7 linked regions of the Macaca fascicularis genome follow. The protein of the gene in region 6 interacts with the protein of the main gene of each other region in a biochemical or structural test. Links are inferred from orthologs where the notes say so. Each region holds a gene or a part of one and is shown on either strand. Other genes may lie near its edges.

The links.
Region 1: the proteins of PTEN (region 6) and NHERF1 form a complex in vitro, tested with the Homo sapiens proteins (3 studies listed by BioGRID and IntAct). The link is inferred for Macaca fascicularis from reciprocal best matches to the Homo sapiens genes PTEN and NHERF1.
Region 2: the proteins of PTEN (region 6) and DLG1 form a complex in vitro, tested with the Homo sapiens proteins (2 studies listed by BioGRID and IntAct, with this or other methods). The link is inferred for Macaca fascicularis from reciprocal best matches to the Homo sapiens genes PTEN and DLG1.
Region 3: the proteins of PTEN (region 6) and USP13 form a complex in vitro, tested with the Homo sapiens proteins (3 studies listed by BioGRID, with this or other methods). The link is inferred for Macaca fascicularis from reciprocal best matches to the Homo sapiens genes PTEN and USP13.
Region 4: the proteins of PTEN (region 6) and PRDX1 form a complex in vitro, tested with the Homo sapiens proteins (2 studies listed by BioGRID and IntAct). The link is inferred for Macaca fascicularis from reciprocal best matches to the Homo sapiens genes PTEN and PRDX1.
Region 5: the proteins of PTEN (region 6) and RPL23 form a complex in vitro, tested with the Homo sapiens proteins (2 studies listed by BioGRID). The link is inferred for Macaca fascicularis from reciprocal best matches to the Homo sapiens genes PTEN and RPL23.
Region 7: the proteins of PTEN (region 6) and PDGFRB form a complex in vitro, tested with the Homo sapiens proteins (2 studies listed by BioGRID and IntAct, with this or other methods). The link is inferred for Macaca fascicularis from reciprocal best matches to the Homo sapiens genes PTEN and PDGFRB.

Annotation. Positions count from the first base shown.
Region 1 is NC_088390.1:81,120,969-81,124,986, forward strand, and holds the start of NHERF1 (Na(+)/H(+) exchange regulatory cofactor NHE-RF1), read left to right. Parts: upstream 1-1,218; 5' UTR 1,219-1,437; coding exon 1,438-1,878; intron 1,879-4,018. UniProt on the Homo sapiens protein: Scaffold protein that connects plasma membrane proteins with members of the ezrin/moesin/radixin family and thereby helps to link them to the actin cytoskeleton and to regulate their surface expression. Necessary for recycling of internalized ADRB2.
Region 2 is NC_088376.1:2,756,722-2,760,966, reverse strand, and holds the start of DLG1 (disks large homolog 1), read left to right. Parts: upstream 1-1,445; 5' UTR 1,446-1,512; exon of another isoform or gene 1,513-1,662; intron 1,663-1,964; exon of another isoform or gene 1,965-2,536; intron 2,537-2,592; exon of another isoform or gene 2,593-2,729; intron 2,730-2,848; 5' UTR 2,849-2,879; coding exon 2,880-2,898; intron 2,899-3,601; coding exon 3,602-3,733; intron 3,734-4,245. UniProt on the Homo sapiens protein: Essential multidomain scaffolding protein required for normal development. Recruits channels, receptors and signaling molecules to discrete plasma membrane domains in polarized cells.
Region 3 is NC_088376.1:91,516,311-91,519,810, forward strand, and holds part of USP13 (ubiquitin carboxyl-terminal hydrolase 13), read left to right. Parts: intron 1-1,284; coding exon 1,285-1,438; intron 1,439-3,500. UniProt on the Homo sapiens protein: Deubiquitinase that mediates deubiquitination of target proteins such as BECN1, MITF, SKP2 and USP10 and is involved in various processes such as autophagy, endoplasmic reticulum-associated degradation (ERAD), cell cycle progression or DNA damage response.
Region 4 is NC_088375.1:189,202,978-189,206,477, forward strand, and holds part of PRDX1 (peroxiredoxin-1), read left to right. Parts: intron 1-13; 5' UTR 14-24; coding exon 25-130; intron 131-2,896; coding exon 2,897-3,050; intron 3,051-3,500. UniProt on the Homo sapiens protein: Thiol-specific peroxidase that catalyzes the reduction of hydrogen peroxide and organic hydroperoxides to water and alcohols, respectively.
Region 5 is NC_088390.1:59,850,097-59,854,300, reverse strand, and holds the start of RPL23 (large ribosomal subunit protein uL14), read left to right. Parts: upstream 1-1,404; 5' UTR 1,405-1,431; coding exon 1,432-1,444; intron 1,445-2,038; coding exon 2,039-2,122; intron 2,123-2,153; exon of another isoform or gene 2,154-2,288; intron 2,289-2,419; coding exon 2,420-2,548; intron 2,549-4,204.
Region 6 is NC_088383.1:96,836,842-96,839,822, forward strand, and holds part of PTEN (phosphatidylinositol 3,4,5-trisphosphate 3-phosphatase and dual-specificity protein phosphatase PTEN), read left to right. Parts: coding exon 1-166; 3' UTR 167-2,981. UniProt on the Homo sapiens protein: Dual-specificity protein phosphatase, dephosphorylating tyrosine-, serine- and threonine-phosphorylated proteins.
Region 7 is NC_088380.1:157,000,395-157,002,709, reverse strand, and holds part of PDGFRB (platelet-derived growth factor receptor beta), read left to right. Parts: coding exon 1-107; intron 108-412; coding exon 413-986; 3' UTR 987-2,066; coding exon of another isoform or gene 2,067-2,250; 3' UTR 2,251-2,315. UniProt on the Homo sapiens protein: Tyrosine-protein kinase that acts as a cell-surface receptor for homodimeric PDGFB and PDGFD and for heterodimers formed by PDGFA and PDGFB, and plays an essential role in the regulation of embryonic development, cell proliferation, survival, differentiation, chemotaxis and migration.

The sequences.
Region 1 (4,018 bases), on a different chromosome or scaffold from region 6:
TCCTTCGCTGAGCCCTCATCTTCCCAGCAGGGATCAGAACCTGCACTCCTCTATGCAAGTCCTGGGACAGCACAAAGTGGATTAGGGTTAGGGTTCCCACAAACGGAAAAATGTTATTCTTTTTTTGTTTTTTTTTTTTTTTTGGGACGGAGTCTCACGCTGTTGCCCAGGCTGGAGTGCAGTGGCGCGATCTCGGCTCACTGCAAGCTCCGCCTCCTGGGTTCACGCCATTCTCCTGCCTCAGCCTCCTGAGTAGCTAGGACTACAGGCGCCCGCCACCGCGCCCGGCTAATTTTTTGTATTTTTTTTAGTAGAGACGGGGTTTCACTGTGGTCTCGATCTCCTGACCTTGTGATCCGCCCGCCTCGGCCTCCCAAAGTGCTGGGATTACAGGCTTGAGCCACCGCGCCCGGCCGGAAAAATGTTATTCAAACAACTCTGTAGGTTCCCAGGAGGCCCTCCGTCTTAATTCTCGAGACCGCTAGGCCCTCACTGCCCCGAGCGCGGGAGTGGTTGCCACGGCAACAGCCTCTCCCTCTCAATTGGAGCTGCACCCAGGCTTTGGCTAAAGGCTGTTAAAACGTTGGCCAGGTGCGGTGGCTCACGCCTGTAATCCCAGGGCGGATCATCTGAAGTCAGAAGTTTGAAACCATCCTGGCCAACATGGCGAAATTCCGTCTCTACTAAAAATACAAAAATTAGCCCGGCGTGGTGGTGCGCGCCTGTAATCCCAGCTACTCGGGAGGCTGAGGCAGGAGAATCGCTTGAACCCAGGAGGCGGAGGTTGCAATGATCCGAGATCGCGCCACCGTACTCTAGCCTGGGCGACAGAGCGAGACTCCGTCTCAAAAACAAAAAAAAAAGTTAGAGCCCTTTATCCGAGGGCCAGCTCTCCTCACTCCCCGCCACAGGTAGGGGAAACCAGGCCTGAGCCAGCGGGCCCCACCGCCCAGAACCGGGAACTCGGCGGGCCACGCCCCTGCCACCCCAGCGCCGGCCGCTCGGTAACAAACACTTCCACTTCCTGAGCGCACTGTCTTCGCCCGCTGCGGGGCGCAGTGCCGAGCACAGGCCCCGCCCCGCGCGTTCCCATTGGCCGGCGCCGTTCACCCGGACGGAGCGCCCCGGCCCGCAGCACCCTATTGGCCCGCGGAGGTCCCCACCCTCAGCGCGGCCCCGCCCCCGGGGTAAGGAGCTGGGGCGGGCTCTGGGACGCTCAGACGCCGCGCGGGGCGGGGATTGGTCCGTGCAGTTCTTTCGGCTCCTCGCGGCCCGCGGCGGCCGGCGGTTCCTGGGACACCTGCTCGCTTCGCCCGTCCGGCGGCTCAGGGCTTCCCCGCTGCGCTCCCGGTTTGCCGGACAGGAAGAAGGGCTGGGCCGTCCCGTCCCATCCCCAACGGAACCCCAAGTCGCGCCGCTGACCCGTCGCAGGGCGAGATGAGCGCGGACGCGGCGGCTGGGGCGCCCCTGCCCCGGCTCTGCTGCCTGGAGAAGGGTCCGAACGGCTACGGCTTCCACCTGCACGGGGAGAAGGGCAAGTTGGGCCAGTACATCCGGCTGGTGGAGCCCGGCTCACCGGCCGAGAAGGCGGGGCTGCTGGCGGGGGACCGGCTGGTGGAGGTGAACGGCGAAAATGTGGAGAAGGAGACCCACCAGCAGGTGGTGAGCCGCATCCGCGCGGCACTCAACGCCGTGCGCCTGCTGGTGGTCGACCCCGAGACGGACGAGCAGCTGCAGAAGCTTGGCGTCCAGGTCCGAGAGGAGCTGCTGCGCGCCCAGGAAACGCCGGGGCAGGCCGAGCCGGCGGCCGCCGCCGAGGCGCAGGGGGCTGGCAATGAAAATGAGCCTCGCGAGGCCGACAAGAGCCACCCGGAGCAGGTAAGCTCGGCCCCGGCCGCGCAGGCTGGAATGGAGTGGGAGGGGGATCTAGAGAGACCCAGGTGCCCCGGCCGTCCAGCCCCGCGCCGGCCGTCGTTTTTCTGAAACTCGAGCTGCGAGGGGGAGACCGCTTCCGCCCGCCTACCAGGCGCTCTGGCACATCCTAGGCAGGCCTGGGGCTGCGTCCCGCGACCTCCTCTCCTTCCCAGGCTGTGCTGGGAGCCTGAGAGCCTTTGCCGCCTGCACCTCTTGTTCCCTGGCCTTTGGGAGGGCGGCGCAGGGGAACCCAGCCCCCCTTCCCTCGGGTCTGCGGGTGTCTGCTCCCCTTCCTCGGAATCCCCCAATCCTGCCCGTCCCCTGGCGCCCTCTCCTCGTTCACCCCAGTCCGCAGATGGGCCAGGGAGGAAGGGCTCTCCTCCCCAGAGGTGCCAGCTTCCCCCGCCACTCCTACGTCAAAAGCTAGAGAAATAGCATTACTCCTGTGTGGAGCCCCGGCGCAAGGAGGCCCTCCCCGCAGCCCGCCGGTGTGTGTCCTGAACTTCAGTCCTGCAGGACTTCATCCTCCCGGGACTTCTAAGGGAGAGGAAGCCCCACCATCTCAGGGCGGTGTGGGGGTTGCCTGGCGGGGAGGAGGAGCCAAGGCATCTCGGAGTGGTGGTTCTGCCACCTCAGAGGATTTACGATTCTCAGGAATGTGAGGAGTAAGCGCCTAGAGCTGTATCTGGGAGGGGAGGGGGAAGACCTTAGAAGAAGAGAAAGATGGCTAGGGGGAGGGGAGAGAGCTCCTGAGGCTCACGGCCCTGTGTGCGCCAGCGGAGCTCACGGTGAGCCGGTGGTCTTGCCCTGGCCTTGCCACGGTCACTCTGGTGCCCACACAGCCAGCAGGCCGGTTGCTTTTTGCCCATGTTTGGTGTTTGCCCATAGGATCCCAGTTTGGATCAGCTGCAGGAGGGGCAGCTGGCAAAACAGGAGTTGTGCTGAGCCTCCTGTCCCCAGAGAGTGGAGTGGTGTACTGTGTAGGGCAGGGCGTGAGCCTCCCAGGGCCCCTTCAGTTTGCACCAGCTCGCCCTGGTGGCAGTGTCTGATGGGAGTGTCCATGGGGACCAGGAGGATCCTTCTGGACAGAGAAAGGGTACAGTTTGGCATTAAGGGAGAAGGCAAAGCCCTAGAGGATCAACTGGCTTGGTGGAAGTGAGGTCACCAGAAGCCCTGTCCAGCCAGAGGTGGGTGCTGGGAATGCCAGGGCCACCAGGCTCCCACTTCCTGCCCCTGCCAACCTGGCATTGGCAAGGGGAGGGGGAAGGGACCTGAGCACCCGTAGCAAGGGGGTTGACACCAGGGAGTTGGGGCTGATGATCTCCAGTCCCAGGCAGAAATCCAGTGTGAACTTTATGCTGAGTCCATCGATCGATTTGACATTCTTTTTTTTTTTTTTTTGGACTTTGGAACCCACACAAATACTCACCCACCCCCACCCCCCACAAGTTACAGTCTCATTCAGCTCCTCCCTTTGCCCTTTTGGTTATGCCGCTGGGTGCCAGAGGGCCTGGGAGGCTAATGTGGAGGCCTGGCATAGCACATGTGCCCAAAGGCAGCAGCTTTGAGCTTCCTGGGTAAGCACAGAATCAGATTCCTGCATGTTTTGGAGGGACACCTACATTTGTGTGTACTTTGTTAGGCCAAGAGATGAGAGAAGAGCCACCAGCAAATCCTGGGGACACCATCACCAGCCAAGTCCCAGGACTTCTGAGCTTTGGTTCTCCCATCTGTGAGATGGAGGCATTGGGCGATGTGATGCCTGCCTTCTCTAGAATTGTAGAAATGACATGAAGTATCTGAGCCTCTTATTAAAGTTTTAAATGCTGAACCGCACTCCTTCATGCCCGGCGTTTGAATCCCAGATCCTTAAACTGACTCCTAGTCAACACCATTGAGTCCCTCTAGCAGAAAATCCCCGCAACCCTGTGTGTTGAGCATACAGATGGCCCGTGCGGTTATTGCAAAAAAATGTTAACAGACATTGTAAGAGTTCTTTTTTCTAAAACACACCCCTTTACTACTAAAGCATCAAATGGAGGTTTGCCAGTTCGTTTTAGTCTGAATTTGTGTGCAAAGTGGGGCTGTTTCCTTATCTTCATTA
Region 2 (4,245 bases), on a different chromosome or scaffold from region 6:
ACGAGGCTGTGTATCCTTGAGAGCAGGACTTGGATCTTATTTATTTCTATCCCCGTTTCCTAGCAAGTGAACATATATGAACAATAAATGTCATCAAGGGAGAGGGCAAATTTCCCTCCCTCTTTCTCCTGAATTCTGAAGTGATTCCATTCTTAGAACGGTTTCTTATTGCAACCATTCCATTCACAGTCCATCAACGAAGTCTTGAGAGTATCATGCATGCCATGAGCCATTTTCACTATTAAACAACTTCCATCCCTCTGTTAAGTTCCTGGCTTTTAGGACACCCCTGCTTTCAGGACTGTTTGACCCTTCTATCCCATCTTCTCTATGCAATGTTGCTTTAACTGTTGTTCAAGATCCCAGGATGCTTGATCCGGGAAAGCACAGAGGTCTGCTGCCAACATACCAACATACCTCTCTGTCAAGTTGTCCAAAATCACAATAGAAAGAGCCCTGACTAGAGCTAGGAGACCTAAGTTCTGGGCTGCTCTGTTACGGATTAGCTTCTACGTCCTTGGACAAGTTGCTTCCCTTTTCTGGACCTCCGTTCCTTGTCCTAGATAGGTTCTAAAGTCGGTGGGTCCTTACAATAAGTTAGGATTCTAAGGTGCAATCCAAAATTCAACCAGTGGTCAGTATACCTGCGAGTAGCTTTAAGGTTACAATACGAGGTTCCTCGGCCTTCCCTTTAGTGGCCAATGGATACGGCCTCAGAGGCCGTCAGGCTTACTGGGAAGAGCCTTCCGGCTTTGAAAGACAGGATCTCCGGGTTTCCAGTTCTGTCACTCACTCGGGGTAACTTTGGGCAAGTTCTCTCTGGAACTCCGAATAGGGAGGTCCTTGTCACCCAGAGGAGGTTCGAAGACCTGGGCAGTGACTTGGAGAGCTTCCCGAGACTCCCCTTCTATAACCTGGGTGGCTCAGCCCGGGAGCGGGGTCCCAGCTGGCCCGTGGTTCCGCTCACAGGTGCGCTCGAAACTTAAACCTGCAGCGCTGGCCGAGGGCGGCTCAGCTTCGGAGGGCGCGACTCCAGGTGAGTTCTTAAAGGGACCGTCAGCGTTTGGGTAACACCTGCGATGCTGACCGGGCTGGGACGCAGGCTTGGGGGAATGAATGAATGAATGAATGAACGAATGAATGAACAAACCTTCTCTCCCCACCCTGAAGTATACCATACTTGGAATTTATCACTTAGGCTTAAAAATCTTGTAGTATAACCCTCAAACTCTTGCCACATTACCCAGTGTCTCTATTTTACATGTCCTTCTTTAATGAACCCCCTCCCGCCAAGCCTATTACTAAGGGACGAATAGGAACTTAACAAGCAGCCTGGAGTGGAAGGCAATGCAGAGTTGGCACCCCTCCCCGAACTCCTCCCTCTCCCTCTCCCAGGCCCCGCCCTCCCCGCCCCCTGGGAGGTGCAGTTGGCTCCTCCTTAAGGCGGCTTTTCCCCGATGGGATCTACCCCTGGGGTCGCCAGGCGCTCTCTCCGCAGCGGAGTTGGAAACGGCACGTGTTGAATGAGGTTAAGGGGTGTCTCGGAATGTGCGCCTTGGCTCTGGTGTAGGCGAGGTCACGCCTCTCTTCAGACAGCCCGAGCCTTCCCGGCCTGGCGCGTTTAGCTCGGAACTGCGGGACACGCCGGTGGGCTCGGGCAAGGTAAAGGCGGGCTCCTCCAGGGCCACCCCGGGCCACCTGTGGAGTCCGCGTGTTAACTCCTTTGTTCTCAGAGCCACTTCAGCGGCCGCCCTTTTAAGCGAGGGGGTTCCCTCAGGATGCTCCCCGTGTCCCCCTTCCGTTCCCCAGCCCTCTCCCGACCCGCCTCCCCCTTCCAACCCGAAGGTAGCAGCGCGGGGAGCCCGGGGCTCGGCGCGAGCCGCCTCCTCACTTCCCATTGGCTGAGAGCGCCGGGAAGGCGGTCACGTGGGAGCGCGGCAGGCCAGCTCGGGGGCCGCCATCTTGGCGGAAAGTTTAGGGGGAGAGCGGTTGGGGGCGCGGAAGGAGGCGAGGTTCCGGGGGTGGGGCGGGCAGGCGGCAACAGGGCGAGCGGGCCGGTGGGCCGCGGCGAGCGGGGAGGCGGCGCGACCTAGAAGGAGGAAGAGGCCGCGGGGGTGCGGCGGCCCAAGGGAGCTCCTCCCCCGTCCCTTCACCCCCTCCGCTCGGCTCCTCGGGCCCCGGGCGGGGCGGGGGTACGTGGAGCGGGGCCGGGCCGGGGAGCTGCTCCGAGTCTGGCCGGAGCGCACCCCAGTTCCGAGCGCACGCCGCTCGCGGGAACTTTGTGGCGGCGCCGCAGGTGTGGGGGCCCGCGGAGGTGTGCATGCGGGGCGCGAGGGCGTCGCGGAGAGCGGCCGCTGCCCTGTCCGGCCCCCGCTGGAGCAGCCCGGAGGCAGCGAGCAAGGAGAAAGGCAAGCGGAGGAGGGGGCCCGGGCAGGGCGGGCGGCCAGTCCCGCCGGTCCCCTCTCAGCGCTCTGCGGCCGCTGCTGGCTCAGGGGCCAAGGGTCGGAGCGCTTCACCGGCCCGTCCCCAGTAGCAGGTGGGGAGCGTGGATACTTGTGCCGGGGGAAGAGGCGGCCTCAGGTCTACGCTCTTTGGGGAGGGGGACGCTTTCGAGGAGAGTTTGAACACCGACTTCTCTCTGTTCTTAATTTGGAGGGGTACCCACTCCAGGGAGAAGCTTTCCACATTGACAGACAACTGCTGCGTTTTGAGACTCTTTCTTTGACTTGGTAAAACTTTGGAACGTGGGGTTTTCCAATAGGGCTGCGAGGGTTTTCTATTTCGATAGGGGGAAATGCTAGTTTAACATGATTCTATCCTTTTTCCTTTCTGTTGTGTGTTTTTAAAGGTGTGTGCCCTCTTCCTGATTCTGGAGAAAAATGCCGGTCCGGAAGCAAGGTGAGAGTTTATTCCATAACTCTGTTGATGTCACTTGGCTTTTCCGTATGTCAGTTTTTTGATTGGTGTTTTAGAATAGTTTGTGTAACTTTGATGAGACAGCACGGTCCTAGCTTTATTGGTTAGGGGATGTAAGTCTCACATCATTTCAGAAGATGGAAACAGGAAAATGTTTGTTAAACTTTCTTAACATTTCTCTGGTGATTAAGAGAGGCAATTAACACCCCCCCCCTCCACAGATGTCCTTAAAAACTCTGCATTGGTGTTTTAGTATTTCACTTCATCATTCTTACTAAGCACTATTCTGTGGGCAACCGTGGGATACTAAGAATTTGTATTTTGAAATGTTAAAAATTTGGATTTTAATGACAAAATGTAGATTATCTGCTTTTGCATATCAGGTAATCTGAAACTGTTGCTAATACTTTGATCTTTTACTTTGGCAAACTAACAGTACATATTTATTCCAAACTGCTCACTCTCCTCCGTTTTCTAATGTGATATATGTTTAAATTTTTCTTGTCTTTAATTTTTTTTTATTTTTTGGTCATTCTAAGGAATATGTGTACATGAACATAGTGACATCAGTTGACCTGAAGGATTTGGGGAACTGTTTAGGTGTCATGCAGAATTATTTGCACTAGTGTGTGATACTTTTTTTGTAAATAGAGAGTTTTAATCAGGCTCTGCTTTTTCTTCTCAGATACCCAGAGAGCATTGCACCTTTTGGAAGAATATCGTTCAAAACTAAGCCAAACTGAAGACAGACAGCTCAGAAGTTCCATAGAACGGGTTATTAACATATTTCAGAGCAACCTCTTTCAGGCTTTAATAGGTGGGAATTAAAACTTTGTAACTATTATGCCAGCTAGGCTTTATGCTCCTCTTGATTCAGTTATTTTAAACTTAAGAAAATGATGTACTTAATTCTCTATGAGGCGTTCGGTAACTTGAACATCTTCAGTGCGTGTGTGTTTTTCATAGGCCAGGATCCTTTCCTAAAATACCTAGTAACCAAAAAACTTTCAGTATCATTTCAGTGGCTTTTGAGAACATTGCTTCACAGCTTAATAGCATTAACTGTTAAAAGATGTTGCAAAAATGTTTCAGGACCTAAAAGGTATGACTGAGTTACTGTTAGCTTGCTTCTGTATTTGACTTGTATGTCTCTGAAGTCATTGAAAGTGTGTGAAGGATTCTGCTGTGTGTAAGAACATTCAGTCCCTTAATATAGACTTCTGTTTAAACTTGGCATTCATGGAATCAGAATTTTAGACCTGGAAAATGATCTTAGAGGTGATCTTGTCTAATAATCGTATTTTACAGGCAAGAAAATGGAAAGTTTTA
Region 3 (3,500 bases), on a different chromosome or scaffold from region 6:
ACATTTTTTTTTTTTTTTTTTTTTTTTTTGAGACGGAGTCTAGCTCTGTTGCCCAGGCTGGAGTACAGTGGCACGATCTTGGCTTACTGCAACTTCTGCCTCCCAGGTTCAAGTGATTCTCCTGCCTCAGCCTCCTGAGTATCTGGGATTATAGACACCTGCCACCATGCCTGGCTAATTTTTGTATTTTTAGTAGAGATAGGGTTTCACCACGTTGGTCAGTCTGGTCTTGAACTCCTGACCTCGTGATCCACCTGCCTTGGCCTCCCAAAGTGCTGGGATTACAGATGTGAGCTGGAAAGCCACTGAGAATTCCTGAGTAAAGGCTTTTTTTCCCCCTGAAAAAACAACTTTTTTTTTTCCCCTTCCTGGTTACAACAGTGTTCTTTGTGGAAAATATAGAAAACACAAAGGAGAACATCAAAATCCCCCTTAATGCCACCCCCCTGCAAACAGCCAGTGTTTTTTTTTTTTTTTTGTCGCCCAGGCTGGAGTGCAGTGGCATGATCTTGGCCCACTGCAACCTCAGCCTTCCAGATTCAAGCGATTCTCCTGCCTCAGCCTCCTGAGTAGCTGGGATTACAGGCGCCCACCACCACGCCTGGCTAATTTTTTGTATTTTTAGTAGAAGTGGGGTTTCACCATGTTGGCCAGGCTGGTCTCGTACTCCTGACCTCAGATGATCCGCCCGCCTCTGCCTCCCAAAGTGCTGGGATTGCAGGCATGAACCACCGCGCCCGGCCAACAGCCAGTGTTCATAGTTTGGCATCTGCCCTTCCCGTCACTTTCCAGGTCTTATGTTAATTCTCTACATGCCCTTCCGTAAGCAGCGTTTTCACTTAAATGTTTTGCCACATCGTTACATCTGTTAACAGAGCATGATTTCTGTTTTATTTGTACCTAATTTATATGAGTGTATTTATATAATCATATTGTACATGTTTTCATTTTTCTGGGGCAGCCCTTTATTTTTTTCCCTTTCTCTTTTGATTGGCTTCTCCTCCTCCTTTCTTTTCATTCTATGAATTTCTCTCCCATGGTTTTTAATTTAATAATATTGACATAGTAATCCATGATGAACTGTATTTTATTTTACCAATCCCCATTTTTGGACTTTAGATAAATTCCCGTGTTTTGCTATTAAAGTGCATTGGTGAATGGGCATGCCCAGAGGAAATGTTTAATAAAGCCAACTGTTTACACCAGGTTTAGAGTTCATTTTCTAGTAAGTCTTAGTGGCTCAATATTCAAGCATTTACTAACCTGATACAATCCATCCTTCAGAGGAACCGCATCGGCTCGGAAAACCCAAGCGATGTTTTTCGTTTTTTGGTGGAAGAACGCATTCAGTGCTGTCAGACCCGGAAAGTCCGCTACACGGAGAGGGTGGATTACCTGATGCAGTTACCTGTGGCCATGGAGGCGGCAACCAACAAGGGTAACAATTCCAAAGCGGGAAGTTAGTACTGTGTGTCTTCATATGGGAAAACCCTTGAATCAGAGAGAATGGTTTAGTCACTGAAGTGTGTCAGGAGTAGACCCAGCCCAGATGATGTCTGCTTTGCTCATCTCTTTTCATCTCTTTGTTAGTTCCCATGTGACTTTTCCTTTGAGAAGAATCAAATGCATCACAGGTTTTATGGAGGCGTTATGGTTCGAACCTACTTCACTGCCTATAAATTTGGCCAACTACTGAGTATGGAGTCAGCATAATTTTGGGGAAAATTATTGGTAATGATATATGTAGAAAATTCTTTAACACTGTCATTTATAAGTTGTGCTATAAAGTCTGAGGGAAATGATCAGGACTGTATTTTTTAAAGTTAGACATTTGAGCAGAGGTCTCTTGAAATAATCCGGCTTTGGCACATGAGTATTTCAGCCACCTCTTCTGGGAGATAAATTGTGTCAGGGTTCTTTGTAAAGGCAAAGCCCATTAGAAGGGTCTCTGGACTTTGGAAGAGAGAAGGAGGCAGAGATGTGGCATTCATGTTTGGTGCCTTCTCCTTCCATCAGTCTAATCTGGTTCTTCCTAGGCAGAATAGACAAATGGTATTTCTTTGAATTAACATCGTATAAGCAAAATAGATAAAATAGCTGCTGGATTGCTCATCTCCTGTGAACCAGTCATTTTTGTAAAGTTCGGCAATTCCACTCTGCAGCCATAAAAAGGAATGAGATTATGTCCTTTGCACATGGATGAAGCTGGAAGCCATCATCCTCAGCAAACTAACACAGGAACAGAAAACCAAACACCGCATGTTCGCATTCATAAGTGGGAGTTGAACATTGAGAACACATGGACAAAGGGAGGGGAACATCACACACTGGGGCCTCTTGGGGGGTGGAGGGAAAGGGGAGGGAATTTAGAGGACAAGACAATAGGTGCAGCAAACCACCGTGGCACATGTATACCTGTGTAACAGACCTGCACGTTCTGCACATGTATCCTGTTTTTTTTTTTTTTTTTAGAATAAAGAAAAAAAAGTTCAGCAAATCCCTGGATGGCCCATTTTCCTCTTTCTTGTGTGTGGGGAGTCATGGGTCAGTTTATGATGTTAACTGAAAAGTGATGATTATGATGATTTGAGATGAAATGATTTTCATTTTCTATATGCTCATGCAGTTTTTGATCAATTTCAAAATCTTTCCAGTGTAGAAACAAGGGAATGGGAGTCTGTTGTTTGTTTCCTTGTTAGAACTAGGCTTCAGTGGTTTCTCTTGTCTACCTCAGGGTTACTGACTCACATGTCTGCTCAGGTCCATGATCTTTTCTAATTCTGTTTATCATTTATTAGTGATAACTATTTTTTTTTCAGAAAGGAGATTTATAATTTAGTCTCTGGAATTTGACTGCTGGGAATATCTAATGTTAGCAACCTAGATATAAGTACATCATAAACTGACTGGGGACAGGGGAATGAATTTTAAAAGCATCTAAGATGTGTTTAGGAAAACAGATATGTGTGTAAGTGTACTTACAAACTGATAAATCAGGAGTTTTTTTGTTTGTTTTTTTTTTCTTTTTTGGGTAATACAAAAGAAATGACCAGAAAGGCCATTCAGATCTATATAAAATTTTGACTACAGGCTAGTTTCCAGGACCAGATCTGCTGGTGCTTGGGAGCTTCCTCTTTTTCCCTTTGTATTTAATCATTTGAGTAGGAATAGCACAGAGGCCTTCGAGGTTGGTAGCCCTATGTCTGAGGTGTTGGGTAACCTCCACAGGAAGTTGTCTTGGCAGTGTTGGTTACTGTCATGGGTGTGTGATGGTGGCTAACTGCAGTCCTGTAGTTATCCTCCTCCTTGGCCTCACACCTCTGTGGGACCCATGACCTCTAATCATAGCTGCTGGTGGAACCAAATCAGAAAATGTATAACACCGCATCTGGTTCTTGGTTCTTGTCAGGCGCTTAGCAGTGGTTTTTTTTTTTTTTTTTTTTTTTTTTCCTGCCTTTGGTTATTTTATTTTAAAACAGCTTAGAGTTAACAGGAATGTT
Region 4 (3,500 bases), on a different chromosome or scaffold from region 6:
CTGTTATTTCTAGCTAATAGGAAGATGTCTTCAGGAAATGCTAAAATTGGGCACCCTGCCCCCAACTTCAAAGCCACAGCCGTTATGCCAGATGGTCAGTTTAAAGATATCAGCCTGTCTGACTACAAAGGTAAGAGAATTTACACTGGGCTCATTGAGATGGAGTTATTTTATATTCTAGGGATGGCTTGTTAGATTTGTGTCAGTGTTATGTTTGACTGTAAAACGTTTTGTCTCCTAGAAAGAAGTATTTAGGTTGTTACCTTCATGTTGAAGTAGTGATTATCAAGTGATTACAGGGTATATATCCTAGGACCAAACCACTTCTGGAGAAACCACATGCTTCATTATGTCTGGACATACTAGCTCAATTATCTTTTTAGTATTCCTCCTCTATTTTCTTTATTTATTTTTATTTTTGAGACAGGGTCTCATTCTGTCACCCAGGCTGGAGTGCAGTGGTGCAGTCATGGCTCACTGCAGCCTCTACCTCTCTGGACTCAGGCGATCCTCCCACCTCAGCCTCCCAAGTAGCTGGGACTGTAGGGGCAAGCCACCATGCCCGGCTAATTTTTGTGCTTTTTGTAGAGATGGGCACCATCTCCAACTCCTGGGCTCAAGCCCTCTACCTGCCCCAGCCTTTCAAAGTGCTGGGATAACAGGTGTGAGCTACTGCATCTGGCCCTCCTCTATTTTATTATTGGAGAAATTCGCATTATCTCTTGTTTTGTTTTGTTTTGTTTTTGAGACGGAGTCTCGCTCTGTCGCCCAGGCTGGAGTGCAGTGGCCGGATCTCAGCTCACTGCAAGCTCTGCCTCCCAGGTTTACGCCATTCTCCTGCCTCAGCCTCCCGAGTAGCGGGGACTACAGGCACCTGCCACCTCGCCTGGCTAGTTTTTTTGTATTTTTTAGTAGAGACGGGGTTTCACCGTGTTAGTCAGGATGGTCTCGATCTCCTGACCTCGTGATCCGCCCGCCTCGGCCTCCCAAAGTGCTGGGATTACAGGCTTGAGCCACCGCGCCCGGCTATCTCTTGTTATAAGAGACATTCTACATTTAAAGTCTCAGAACTCACTCAACTCTTTGGAGCTGTGACACTGCTTGTTCATTTGGGTCACATATATATTACAGTTGTTAATATTAAGCTGAGGGCTAGGCACTTTCCCTTGCCTGTTTTGACCCCAGAGGAGAGTTGATATTACAGATGGAACAACTCTCCTTTCTGTTGTCATAGTTTCATGCAGACACTTGGCAAGTTCTGTTGAGGCTCCTCCTTCCTTTACCTTGTAGTCCCAGAGCAGCTGGATCTCCTGGGACAGTTGAGGATATAGATTCCTTAGAATGCAAACCTGAAACTCAGGTGTCAAGTGTCCTTTTCTCAGTGGTGTAGCATCAGTTTCTGAAGTTAGTTTTTGCTAGAACATTTGACTAGGTTTCCTGACATAATCACAGTTTGTTGATGGGGCTTCTCCTAGCAAACAAGGTAAGTTGCACCGTAGGGAGGTGACCTTGGCCCAGGAGTATAAGCAGGAGGTCTAGGAGCAGCTGCTCTCTGCCCTCCAGGGTTTGACCTGCTGAGGCCCCATGGTGCTTGTTAGGCAAATCCCTGCAGGGGTTGTTTAGATGAGTTAGTTTCCAGTGATACTGCAAAGTGGTAATGTCTAAAAGGGCTGCTTGTTTGACTTTTTTTTTTTTTTGAGATGGAATTTTGCTCTTGTTGCATAGGCTGTAGTGCAGTGGCATGGTCTTGGGTCACTGCGACCTCCATCTCCCCAGTTCAAGTGATTCTCCTGGCTCAGCCTCCCGAGTAGCTGGGATTTCAGGCCCCCGCTATCACGCCCAGCTAATTTTTGTATTTTTAGTAGAGACACGTTTCACCATGTTGGTCAGGCTGGTCTTGAACTCCTGACCTCAGGTGATCCACCTGCCTCGGCCTACCAAAATGCTGGAATTACAGACATGAGCCACCATGCCAGGCTGAGCCACCACACCCAGCCTATTTGACTTTGCAAACATTGCTGCTACCTGGAAATGAGTGAATATTTGGAATTGTTCTGGTATTTAAGCCTGGTGGGTGTGGTGAAAAGGCTAGGCTGCCTGACCAGTTTGACGATCTGTTATTTCAGTGGTTAATCCCAGTGACTTCATTAAAATTGCAGCTAGAAGTTCTGTTACTCACTAGTACTTTTGTCTTTTCTCTGTCTCTCTCTGTGTATGTGTATGTATGTATTTTTTGTTGTTTTGAGACCGTCTTGCTCTGTTGCCCAGGCTGGCCTCAAACTCCTGGGGTCAAGGGATCCTCCCACCTCAGCCTCCCAAGTAGCTGGGACTACAAGCACGCACCACTGTGCCTGGCTTAAAATTTTTCCTGTCCTGTCAGGCACGTTAGGAACACATGTGATCACTTAAACCATGCTTGTTCCATTACTATGGTTCATCACGGGAGAAGTGCAAAGGCTCTGACTTCTTATTGGTGTCTTATCTCTACAGCAGAGGAGTGCTGCAATTCAGCTTCTCTGGGCGCTGTTTGTTAAGCGTTGGTATTAGGCCATGCTTATAAGTGCATTCTTGCTTTTGCTATCTTTGGAGAACTTGGTGTTTATGCTAATTTTAGCCACTCAGAAAAGATCAAAATTAGACTGAACAGTGTTTATTCTGTGGTTGGCAGCTAAGAATATGGAGGCAGGAGAATAAAGCATGGGATTGGAAGTTTCTTTCATTCAGGTTTTCCTAATGCACCAGGTTCTAAAAGTAGCTACTAGGAGACATCTATATCGAGCATCTTGGCATTTAGTGGTTATTGTGTCAGCCATCAACTTGCTTCTTTTTGTATAGGAAAATATAAAGCAAGGAAGTCTGTGTCAAATGCTAACCATGACTCCTGTTTTTCCCCCAGGAAAATATGTTGTGTTCTTCTTTTATCCTCTTGACTTCACCTTTGTGTGCCCTACGGAGATCATTGCTTTCAGTGATAGGGCAGAAGAATTTAAGAAACTCAACTGCCAAGTGATTGGTGCTTCTGTGGATTCTCACTTCTGTCATCTAGCATGGTAAATCTCTTGGTTCATTTGGCATATGAACTTTTTTTTTATTTTTTGAGATGGAGTCTCGCTCTGTCGCCCAGGCTAGAGGGCAGTGGTGTGATCTTGGCTCACTGCAAGCTCCGCCTCCTGGGTTCACGCCATTCTCCTGCCTCAGCCTCCAGAGTAGCTGGGACTACAGGTGCCCACCACCAGCCCGGCTAATTTTTTGTATTTTTAGTAGAGATGAGGTTTCATCGTGTTAGCCAGGATGGTCTCGATCTCCTGACCTCATGATCTGCCCGCCTTGGCCTCCCAAAGTGTTGGGATTACAGGTGTGAGCCACCGCACCTGGCCGCATGTGAACTTTTAAAACAGCAACTGGGAAGCTTTGGCAATAGACTTTCAAGTATTGGCTTCTCATGGAAGAAGTGCAAAGTCTGACTTTCTCTTACTGCTCATGACCTGGCAGCAGAGAAG
Region 5 (4,204 bases), on a different chromosome or scaffold from region 6:
CCCTGCCACCTCCGCCCCCCGGGTTCCAGCGATTCTCCTGCCTCAGCCTCCCGAGTAGCTGTAGCTGGGATTACAGGCGCGTGCCACCACGCCCAGAAAATTTTTGTATTTTTAGTAGAGACGGGGTTTCACTGTGTTGGCCAGGCTTGTCTCAATCTCCTGACCTCGTGATCCACCCGCCTCGGCCTCCCAAAGTGCTGGGATTACAAGCGTGAGCCACCAGGCCCGGCCACTATTTGTATTTTACACTTGATCTTGGCCAAAAGGCCAAGAAGCGATACTATTTATATTTTTATAATACTTATCCCCATCTAACATACTACATACTGCAATTATTTATTATATCTTTTGTTTAGTGTCTAATATCCTCCTCCACCTGCACCCCAGCAGAATGTAAGCTCCATAAGGACAACAATATTGATCTATTTTGTTGTCTGATGTAATCCGCTGTACGCCCTGGACAGAACCTGCTACAAAGTAGGAGCTCAGTAAGTATTTGAATGAATGCATCGTGGCACGGGAAGAACCCAGAAGAAAGGGGCGGCTGAAGCTGTGAAAGGAGCAAGTGGCCTGGCGCGGGGGCTCACGCCTGCAATCCCAGCACTTTGAGAGGCCAAGGCGGGCAGATCACTTGAGGTTAGAAATTCGAGACCAGCCTGGCCAACATGGCGAAACCCCATCTCTACTAAAAATACAAAAATTAGCCCAGCGTTGTGGTGGGCGCCTGTGGTCTCAGCTACTCTGAGGCTGAGACAGAGAACTGCTTGAACCCGGGAGACGGAGGTTGCAGCGAGCTGAGAGCGCGCCACTATACTCCAGCCTGGGCAAGAGCGAGACTCCGTCTCAAAAAAAAGAAAACAAAAAACAAAAAACAACTGTGTGTGTGTGTGGGGGGGGGGGGGGGGCGGGTCAATAAACAGAGCAATACTGTATATGTAAAATACAGAATGGTATGGTACCAAGAACACATAGATGGAATGATCTGTAGCACTTCTCAATTGTATTACATTGAACGAAACCGTTTGGAGCTGGTTCTCCCCCCTCCCCCACTGTCTTTGTTTCTTTGGGAACCCCCACACGGCACAAACCGTGTTTTAATTCCTATTCTCTAGTGTGCTGATAAGTGCCTGGCACGTATTAAGTTGTCAAAAGAGGTCGTGAGCAAGTTAACAAATCACTGCTTCCATGTCCCTAACTACTCTTAAGCTCCTGGAGAAGAGATTTCCTATCTCTTGCGCTTCTACTTCAACGCCCACTTCAGAGAGGGCTCAAAGTAACGTCGTGAACTTAATACGCAATAAGGCAGCGCCCAGAGGCGGAAGAGGCAGAGTTTTTAGCTCCGGCCACGTGACGAAGGTGGGCGGGGCGTCAAAGTTCATATCCCAGCGTCCTTTGAATCAACTTCCTTTTTTCTTTTTTCCGGCGTTCAAGATGTCGAAGCGAGGTGAGGTTTTGCTTCTGGAGGATCCTCCACCATCTGTCGTGCAGTGGCTGGCGGATTCGTCAGGAGCGGTGGCCCTAGGCAGCTGGGGCGCTTTGCTCTCCTTCAGGCCGGAGAGGGAGAGCCAGGCCATCGCAAGAGCACTGCCAGGGCCCTCGAAAGTGGCAGTGGGGTGCTGGAGAGTTGACATAGCAGGATCCCGACATGAATATAGTCTGGATCCCGCGAGATCGCTCTGCGAATAGGGCTATCGTATTGGGGTTGAAGTTAGACTGGATTAGGCCCTGGTTTGCGCGACCTCTGCGGTCTTATGCTTTGCAGGAGCAATTGCGTTTTGCGAAAGTTGGAACAAGGGCTGAGTCGTCTAGGTTCCTTAATTTCGATGTCAGAGTGGTAATAGTGAGAAATAGGCTACTTTCCGTGAGAATCGGGTGGCACACGGGGAGGGCATAAGTAAAATCCGAGCGAGCTAATCTATAGCATACCATCTGTCAAAGTATGTGCGGTGAATTACAGTTTAAGAGTATGAGAGGGAACTGCGAACCATGTCTAGATAGTGATCTCTTTATCCTGTTTACCTTCCCTTTATATCCACAGGACGTGGTGGGTCCTCTGGTGCGAAATTCCGGATTTCCTTGGGTCTTCCGGTAGGAGCTGTGATCAATTGTGCTGACAACACAGGTGAGGTCTTTGACTGCAGGTTTCTATACTCCCCCTTTTAAAAGCACTCAATGGGCCTGTGCCTAATGACCTATTGAGCCGTCAAGAAAGGGGAGAGTGAAAACATCGCTTTTGGGTGAAGTGGCAACATGTTGTGTTGTTTGCTTCAATCGGTGGTGTGACAAGGCGTTCTTGAGGACTAACTGCTTGGGCAGTCAGTGGAGGGAGGGACTTTGGAAGTGTTTGGGAAATGTAATACTGATGGAACGGCCTGATGGGCCCTCAACATTTTTCATTTTTATTTACATTGATTTGTAGGAGCCAAAAACCTGTATATCATCTCCGTGAAGGGGATCAAGGGACGGCTGAACAGACTTCCCGCTGCTGGTGTGGGTGACATGGTGATGGCCACAGTCAAGAAAGGCAAACCAGAGCTCAGAAAAAAGGGTGAGTAAACACTGAGCCCACCTTAACACTGATAAGTAGTGGGGGGACTCTTTCCTTTATTGGAAAATGGATCAGTTTTCAAGGCCTCAAGGTTGTTTTCCATTGAGAGGCAATGTGAGATAAGTATCTTAAGTTTTTGTTCATATTATGTTGGAGGGGGGACCATCATCTTGTCATTTCCATACTTTAGATTTATTTATTTATTTATTTTTTGAGATGGGGTCTCCCTCTGTCGCTCAGCCCACACTGGAGAGTGCAATGGCACGATCTTGGCTGACTGCAACCTCTCTGCCTCCTGGGTTCTCAAAAAAAAAAAAAAAAAAATTAGAAAATGAAAACGAGAAGCTGCTCATTATTTTATTTTTATTTATTTATTTTTGAGATGTAATCTCACTCTGTTGCCCAGGCTGCAGTGCAGTGGCACATATCTTTCTGTTCACTGCAACCTCCACTTCCCAGGCTCAAGTGATTGCCCTGCCTCAGCCTCCCGAGGAGCTGGGATCATAGGTGTGCGCCACCACACCCAGCTAATTGCTCATTACTTAATCTCAGGCTACCCCCTCATAAGTTTTCCTGTCAGCTGTATGATTTAAAGGGGGAGGCCTCAAAATACTTGCAGTTTGTGTCCTGTCCGGCTTTAGAACTTCTGGTATTTGATGCATTTTAACTTCAGCTCTTGCAGTTTTTTCCTGTGCCTGCCTAGTCTGTCTCTACCCTGGGATGTCTTGCTCTTCTAAAGAGTTCATGGCCATCCCTTGAGTTACAAATATGATGTTGATTTGTTAGCCATGTGTTACAGTTACTCCTATTCCTGTATCCACTCCACGATGCTCTCCAGTAGATTTTTAACCTTTGGGTTAGAAATCTTTTTTTGTTTACCATTAATAGCCACTTGAGGGCTTGGTAGCACTGTGCTTGTGATTCAGCAATTGCATGGGCTTTTTCCTCTTCTCAGAACACTTCCTGGGTCTGATTGGTGGCCCAGGGAGCTGTTAGAGAAGAGCAGAGCAAATGGCCATCACTTTGTAGATGAGATGGCAGGAGAGTGGATTGTTGGTCTCAGTCAGTGGTGGGACAGACCAGAGCTCAGAACACTTCAGTTTTAAAACGAGCTGTGAGTATCCAATTCTGTTAATGTCTTTTTTGGTCCTTGTTTCTGCTAAATGAATACATCCCCTCCCCTTGGAACTTAATAAATAACAAGCACAGAAATGTGCAAAAGGGCCAGGTCTATTTGTCTACTTGATGAATTTGTGAGCATTTAATGGTTTATAAGTAGAGGAGGGTCAGTAAGTATTGGCTGCCTCATGTGTGTCCCATTGCTAACTTGGTTAGACTTATCTATTTTTTGTATAGTCTTCCTGTCATTATAAAAATTCTGTGTAAGGACCCCACGCTAGTATCAGTGAAGATTTGAATCCAGGTGTGTCTGACTCTACAATAGTTCTTCACAAGCATTATATTTTACTGTGTAGTGATACTTGATTTTGAAAGTTGGGAAAAGCATCTTTTTCACTTTAGTACAGATGGGTGTAAAAGTTACTTATGACACTGGAAAGTAAAACTTTAAAAGTAAAACATAAAGCCTGGTGTTTGGGCCCTGGAATTCCAACTGTTTTCCAGTATAAATCTGAATAGCTTGGTCTCTGCTCATTG
Region 6 (2,981 bases):
AACAGTAGAGGAGCCGTCAAATCCAGAGGCTAGCAGTTCAACTTCTGTAACACCAGATGTTAGTGACAATGAACCTGATCATTATAGATATTCTGACACCACTGACTCTGATCCAGAGAATGAACCTTTTGATGAAGATCAGCATACACAAATTACAAAAGTCTGAATTTTTTTTTTATCAAGAGGGATAAAATACCATGAAAACAAACTTGAATAAACTGAAAATGGACCTTTTTTTTTTTAATGGCAATAGGACATTGTGTCAGATTACCAGTTATAGGAACAATTCTCTTTTCCTGACCAATCTTGTTTTACCCTATACATCCACAGGGTTTTGACACTTGTTGTCCAGTTGAAAAAAGGTTGTGTAGCTGTGTCATGTATATACCTTTTTGTGTCAAAAGGACATTTAAAATTCAATTAGGATTAATAAAGATGGCACTTTCCAATTTTATTCCAGTTTTATAAAAAGTGGAGACAGACTGATGTGTATACGTAGGAATTTTTTCCTTTTGTGTTCTGTCACCAACTGAAGTGGCTAAATACTGGTTCACATCCTACCCCTTTGCACTTGTGGCAACAGATAAGTTTGCAGTTGGCTAAGAGAAGTTTCCGAAGGGTTTTACTACATTCTAATGCATGTATTCGGGTTAGGGGAATGGAGGGAATGCTCAGAAAGGAAATACATTTTATGCTGGACTCTGGACCATATACCATCTCCAGCTATTTACACACACCTTTCTTTAGCATGCTACAGTTATTAATCTGGACATTCGAGGAATTGGCCGCTGTCACTGCTTGTTGTTTGCGCATTTTTTTTTTAAAGCATATTGGTGCTAGAAAAGGCAGCTAAAGGAAGTGAATCTGTATTGGGGTACAGGAATGAACCTTCTGCAACATCTTAAGATCCACAAATGAAGGGATATAAAAATAATGTCATAGATAAGAAACACAGCAACAATGACTTAACCATATAAATGTGGAGGCTATCAACAAAGAATGGGCTTGAAACATTATAAAAATTGACAATGATTTATTAAATATGTTTTCTCAATTGTAACGACTTCTCCATCTCCTGTGTAATCAAGGCCAGTGCTAAAAGTCAGATGCTATTAGTACCTACATCAGTCAACAACTTACACTTATTTTATTAGTTTTCAATCATATACCTGCTGTGGATGCTTCATGTGCTGCCTGCAAGCTTCTTTTTTCTCATTAAATATAAAATATTTTGTAATGCTGCACAGAAATTTTCAATTTGAGATTCTACAGTAAGCGTTTTTTTTCTTTGAAGATTTATGATGCACTTATTCAATAGCTGTCAGCTGTTCCACCATTTTGACCTTACACATTCTATTACAATGAGTTTTGCAGTTTTGCACATTTTTTAAATATCATTAACTGTTAGGGAATTTTACTTGAATACTGAATACATATAATGTTTATATAAAAAAGGACATTTGTGTTAAAAAGGAAATTAGAGTTGCAGTAAACTTTCAACGCTGCACAAAAAAAAAAGGACATTTGATTTTTCAGTAGAAATTGTCCTACATGTGCTTTATTGATTTGCTATTGAAAGAATAGGGTGTTTTTTGTTTTTGTTTTTGTTTTTTTTTTTTTAAATGTGCAGTGTTGAATCATTTCTTCATAGTGCTACCCCGAGTTGGGACTAGGGCTTCAATTTCACTTCTTAAAAAAATTTCATCATATATTTGATATGCCCAGACTGCATACGATTTTAAGCGGAGTACAACTACTATTGTAAAGCTAATGTGAGGATACTATTAAAAAAGGATTTTTTTTTTCCAGAAATTTGGTGTCTTCAAATTATACCTTCACCTTGACGTTTGAATATCCAGCCATTATATTTCTTAATGGTATAAAATTCCATTTTCAATAACTTATTGGTGCTGAAATTGTTCACTAGCTGTGGTCTGACCTAGTTAATTTACAAATACAGATTGAATAGGACCTACTAGAGCAGCATTCATAGAGTTTGATGGCAAATAGATTAGGCAGAACTTCATCTAAAATATTCTTAGTAAATAATGTTGACATGTTTTCCATACCTTGTCAGTTTCATTCAACAATTTTTAAATTTTTAACAAAGCTCTTAAGATTTACACATTTATATTTAAACATCGATGAGTATTGATTGATTACTCCTAAGTTAAATTGGTAAAGTTAGAGACAACTATTCCTAACACCTCACCATTGAAATTTATATGCCACCTTGTCTTTCATAAAAGCTGAAAATTGTTACCTAAAATGAAAATCAACTTCATGTTTTGAAGATAGTTATAAATATTATTCTTTGTTACAATTTTGGGCACCGCATATTAAAACATTTATTGTTCCAGTATGTAACATGGAGGGCCAGGTCATAAATAATGACATTATAATGGGCTTTTGCACTGTTACTATTTTTCCTTTGGAATGTGAAGGTCTGAATGAGGGTTTTGATTTTGAATGTTTCAATGTTTTTGAGAAGCCTTGCTTACATTTTATGGTGTAGTCATTGGAAATGGAAAAATGGCATTATATATATTATATATATAAATATATATTATACATACTCTCCTTACTTTATTTCAGTTACCATCCCCATAGAATTTGACAAGAATTGCTATGACTGAAAGGTTTTCGAGTCCTAATTAAACCTTTATTTATGGCAGTATTCATAATTAGCCTGAAATGCATTCTGTAGGTAATCTCTGAGTTTCTGGAATGTTTTCTTAGACTTTTTGGATGTGCAGCAGCTTACATGTCTGAAGTTACTTGAAGGCATCACTTTTAAGAAAGCTTACAATTGGGCCCTGTACCATCCCAAGTCCTTTGTAGCTCCTCTTGAACATGTTTGCCATACTTTTAAAAGAGTAGTTGAATAAATAGCGTCACCATTCTTTGCTGTGGCACAGGTTATAAACTTAAGTGGAGTTTACCGGCAGCATCAAATGTTTCAGCTTTAAAAAATTAGGGTA
Region 7 (2,315 bases), on a different chromosome or scaffold from region 6:
GCCGTGCAGCCCAATGAGGGTGACAACGACTATATCATCCCCCTGCCTGACCCCAAACCCGAGGTTGCTGACGAGGGCCCACTGGAGGGTTCCCCCAGCCTAGCCAGGTAACCACTGTGGCCTGGGGCCAAGGATATCGTGTGTGTGTGTGTGTGTGTGTGTGTGTGTGTGTGTGTGTGTGTGTGTTTGCCTGCATGCGTGCTGTCAGGCTTGCCTCAGAGGTAAGTTACCTAGGGTAAGTACTTATCCCTAACAACAAATAAAAGAGAGAATGGAACTCATTTGAACTTTGATGCCCTGAGGTGGAAAGGGCAGGTTAGTAAAAACAAAAGTATGGGCTGGGAATTATTTGCAAGGTAGCTATTTCCTTTAAGGGAGCCCCCAGAGGTTATCTATACTCTCTCATCTCTAGGTCCTGTCCTAGCCCCAAGGAGAAGAAGCAAACCTACTTAGCATCCCCAGCACCCCAGTTGTTACTCATGGCCAGCCAGAGGCCTATGTTCTGTTCTTCAGCACCATGCCCTGGGGCTGGAGAGAGCCTCCAGGGCTGCAGGAGTCAGAGGCGCCTACAGGAATTCAGGACAGAATTCAGATTGGGAAGGAGATTGTGGTTTTCTTTTGCCTTGGGAAGTGGTGAAGTTACAGCTCAGCGGGGGCTTTATAGGAGGACCCTGCTGTTGTGGGGACTTGATGTCCACATAGGATCTCCCCTTAACTGGAGAGAAGGGCTCCTCATGAGGCCACGCCCACCTCCAAAGCAAGATCCAGCCCAAGGTGAAGTGGCTGGAGCCCCAGGCTGGGGTACTGTCCCAACTCTGCCACTAGCCGCTATGAGACCTGGGAAGGCTTTTCCTCTGAGAGCCTCAGTTTCTCCATATGTGCCAGGGGTGCACACAGGCCTTAGAAGGCTCCCAAAGGCCCTCATTGCTCTAACTGTTGAAGAGACGAATCATCCAAGAGTTCCAGTGGATGGCGCAGAGGAGTGAAGTGCAGCTCTCCTACAGCTTGAGGTGTGAACGCAGAGGAGTGAAGTGCAGCTCTCCCACAGCTTGAGGTGTGAACGCAGAGGAGTGAAGTGCAGCTCTCCCACAGCTTGAGGTGTGAACGCAGAGGAGTGAAGTGCAGCTCTCCCACAGCTTGAGGTGTGAACGCAGAGGAGTGAAGTGCAGCTCTCCCACAGCTTGAGGTGTGAACGCAGAGGAGTGAAGTGCAGCTCTCCCACAGCTTGAGGTGTGAACGCAGAGGAGTGAAGTGCAGCTCTCCCACAGCTTGAGGTGTGAACGCAGAGGAGTGAAGTGCAGATCTCCCATAGCTTGAGGTGTGAATGCTCGCCCTGTTTTGTGCCCTCAGACAAGCTGCTTCACTGTGTAAACACTGGTGTCCTCTTCTTTTTTTTTTTTTTTTGAGATGGAGTTGCACTCTTCTTGCCCAGGCTGGAGTGCAGTGGTGCGATCTCGGCTCACCGCAACCTCCGCCCCCCGGTTCAAGCAGTTCTCCTGCCTCAGCCTCCCGAGTAGCTAGAATTACAGGCATGGAGCATCACACCCGGCTAATTTTGTATTTTTAGTAGAGACGGGGTTTCTCCGTGTTGAGGCTGGTCTCGAACCCCTGACCTCAGGTGATCTACCCGCCTCGGCCTCCCAAAGTGCTGGGATTTCAGGCGTGAGCCACCGCACTCGGCCGGTGTCCTCTTCTATAAAATATAAACAGTAAAAGTACTTCTATTAGGCAGTCATTGCAAGGATTAAATGAGATAGCATACACCTTTAGGGGTGCAGAGGAGGCAGATGCTAGTGGGTGAGAAATGAGCTTTGGAGCCAGCCAACCCTGCTCTGAAGTTCCAGCTCCTGCACTTCCCTGCTGTGTGAAGTGGGGCAGTGACATAACCTCTCTGAACCACACTTTCCTCACGGTGCAGGCATTGCATAGTTTTCACAAGAGTTAAATGAGCCGGAGTGTGTGAAGCCCATGGTGCAGGGGCAGACACACCGAAGGCTCTTCATGACTGCTGCTGTAATCCTCCTGGGCTCCTTCCTAGCCTGTCACTCACTGCCTCCTTCCTCTAGCTCCACCCTGAATGAAGTCAACACCTCCTCGACCATCTCCTGTGACAGCCCTCTGGAGCCCCAGGAGGAACCAGAGCCAGAGCCCCAGCTTGAGCGCCAGGTGGAACCAGAGCCAGAGCTGGAACAGCTGCCGGATTCAGGGTGCCCCGCGCCTCGAGCGGAAGCAGAGGACAGCTTCCTGTAGGGGGCTGGCCCCCACCCTGCCCTGCCCAAAGCTTCCCCTCTGCCAGTACCCAGCACCTCCTGGCC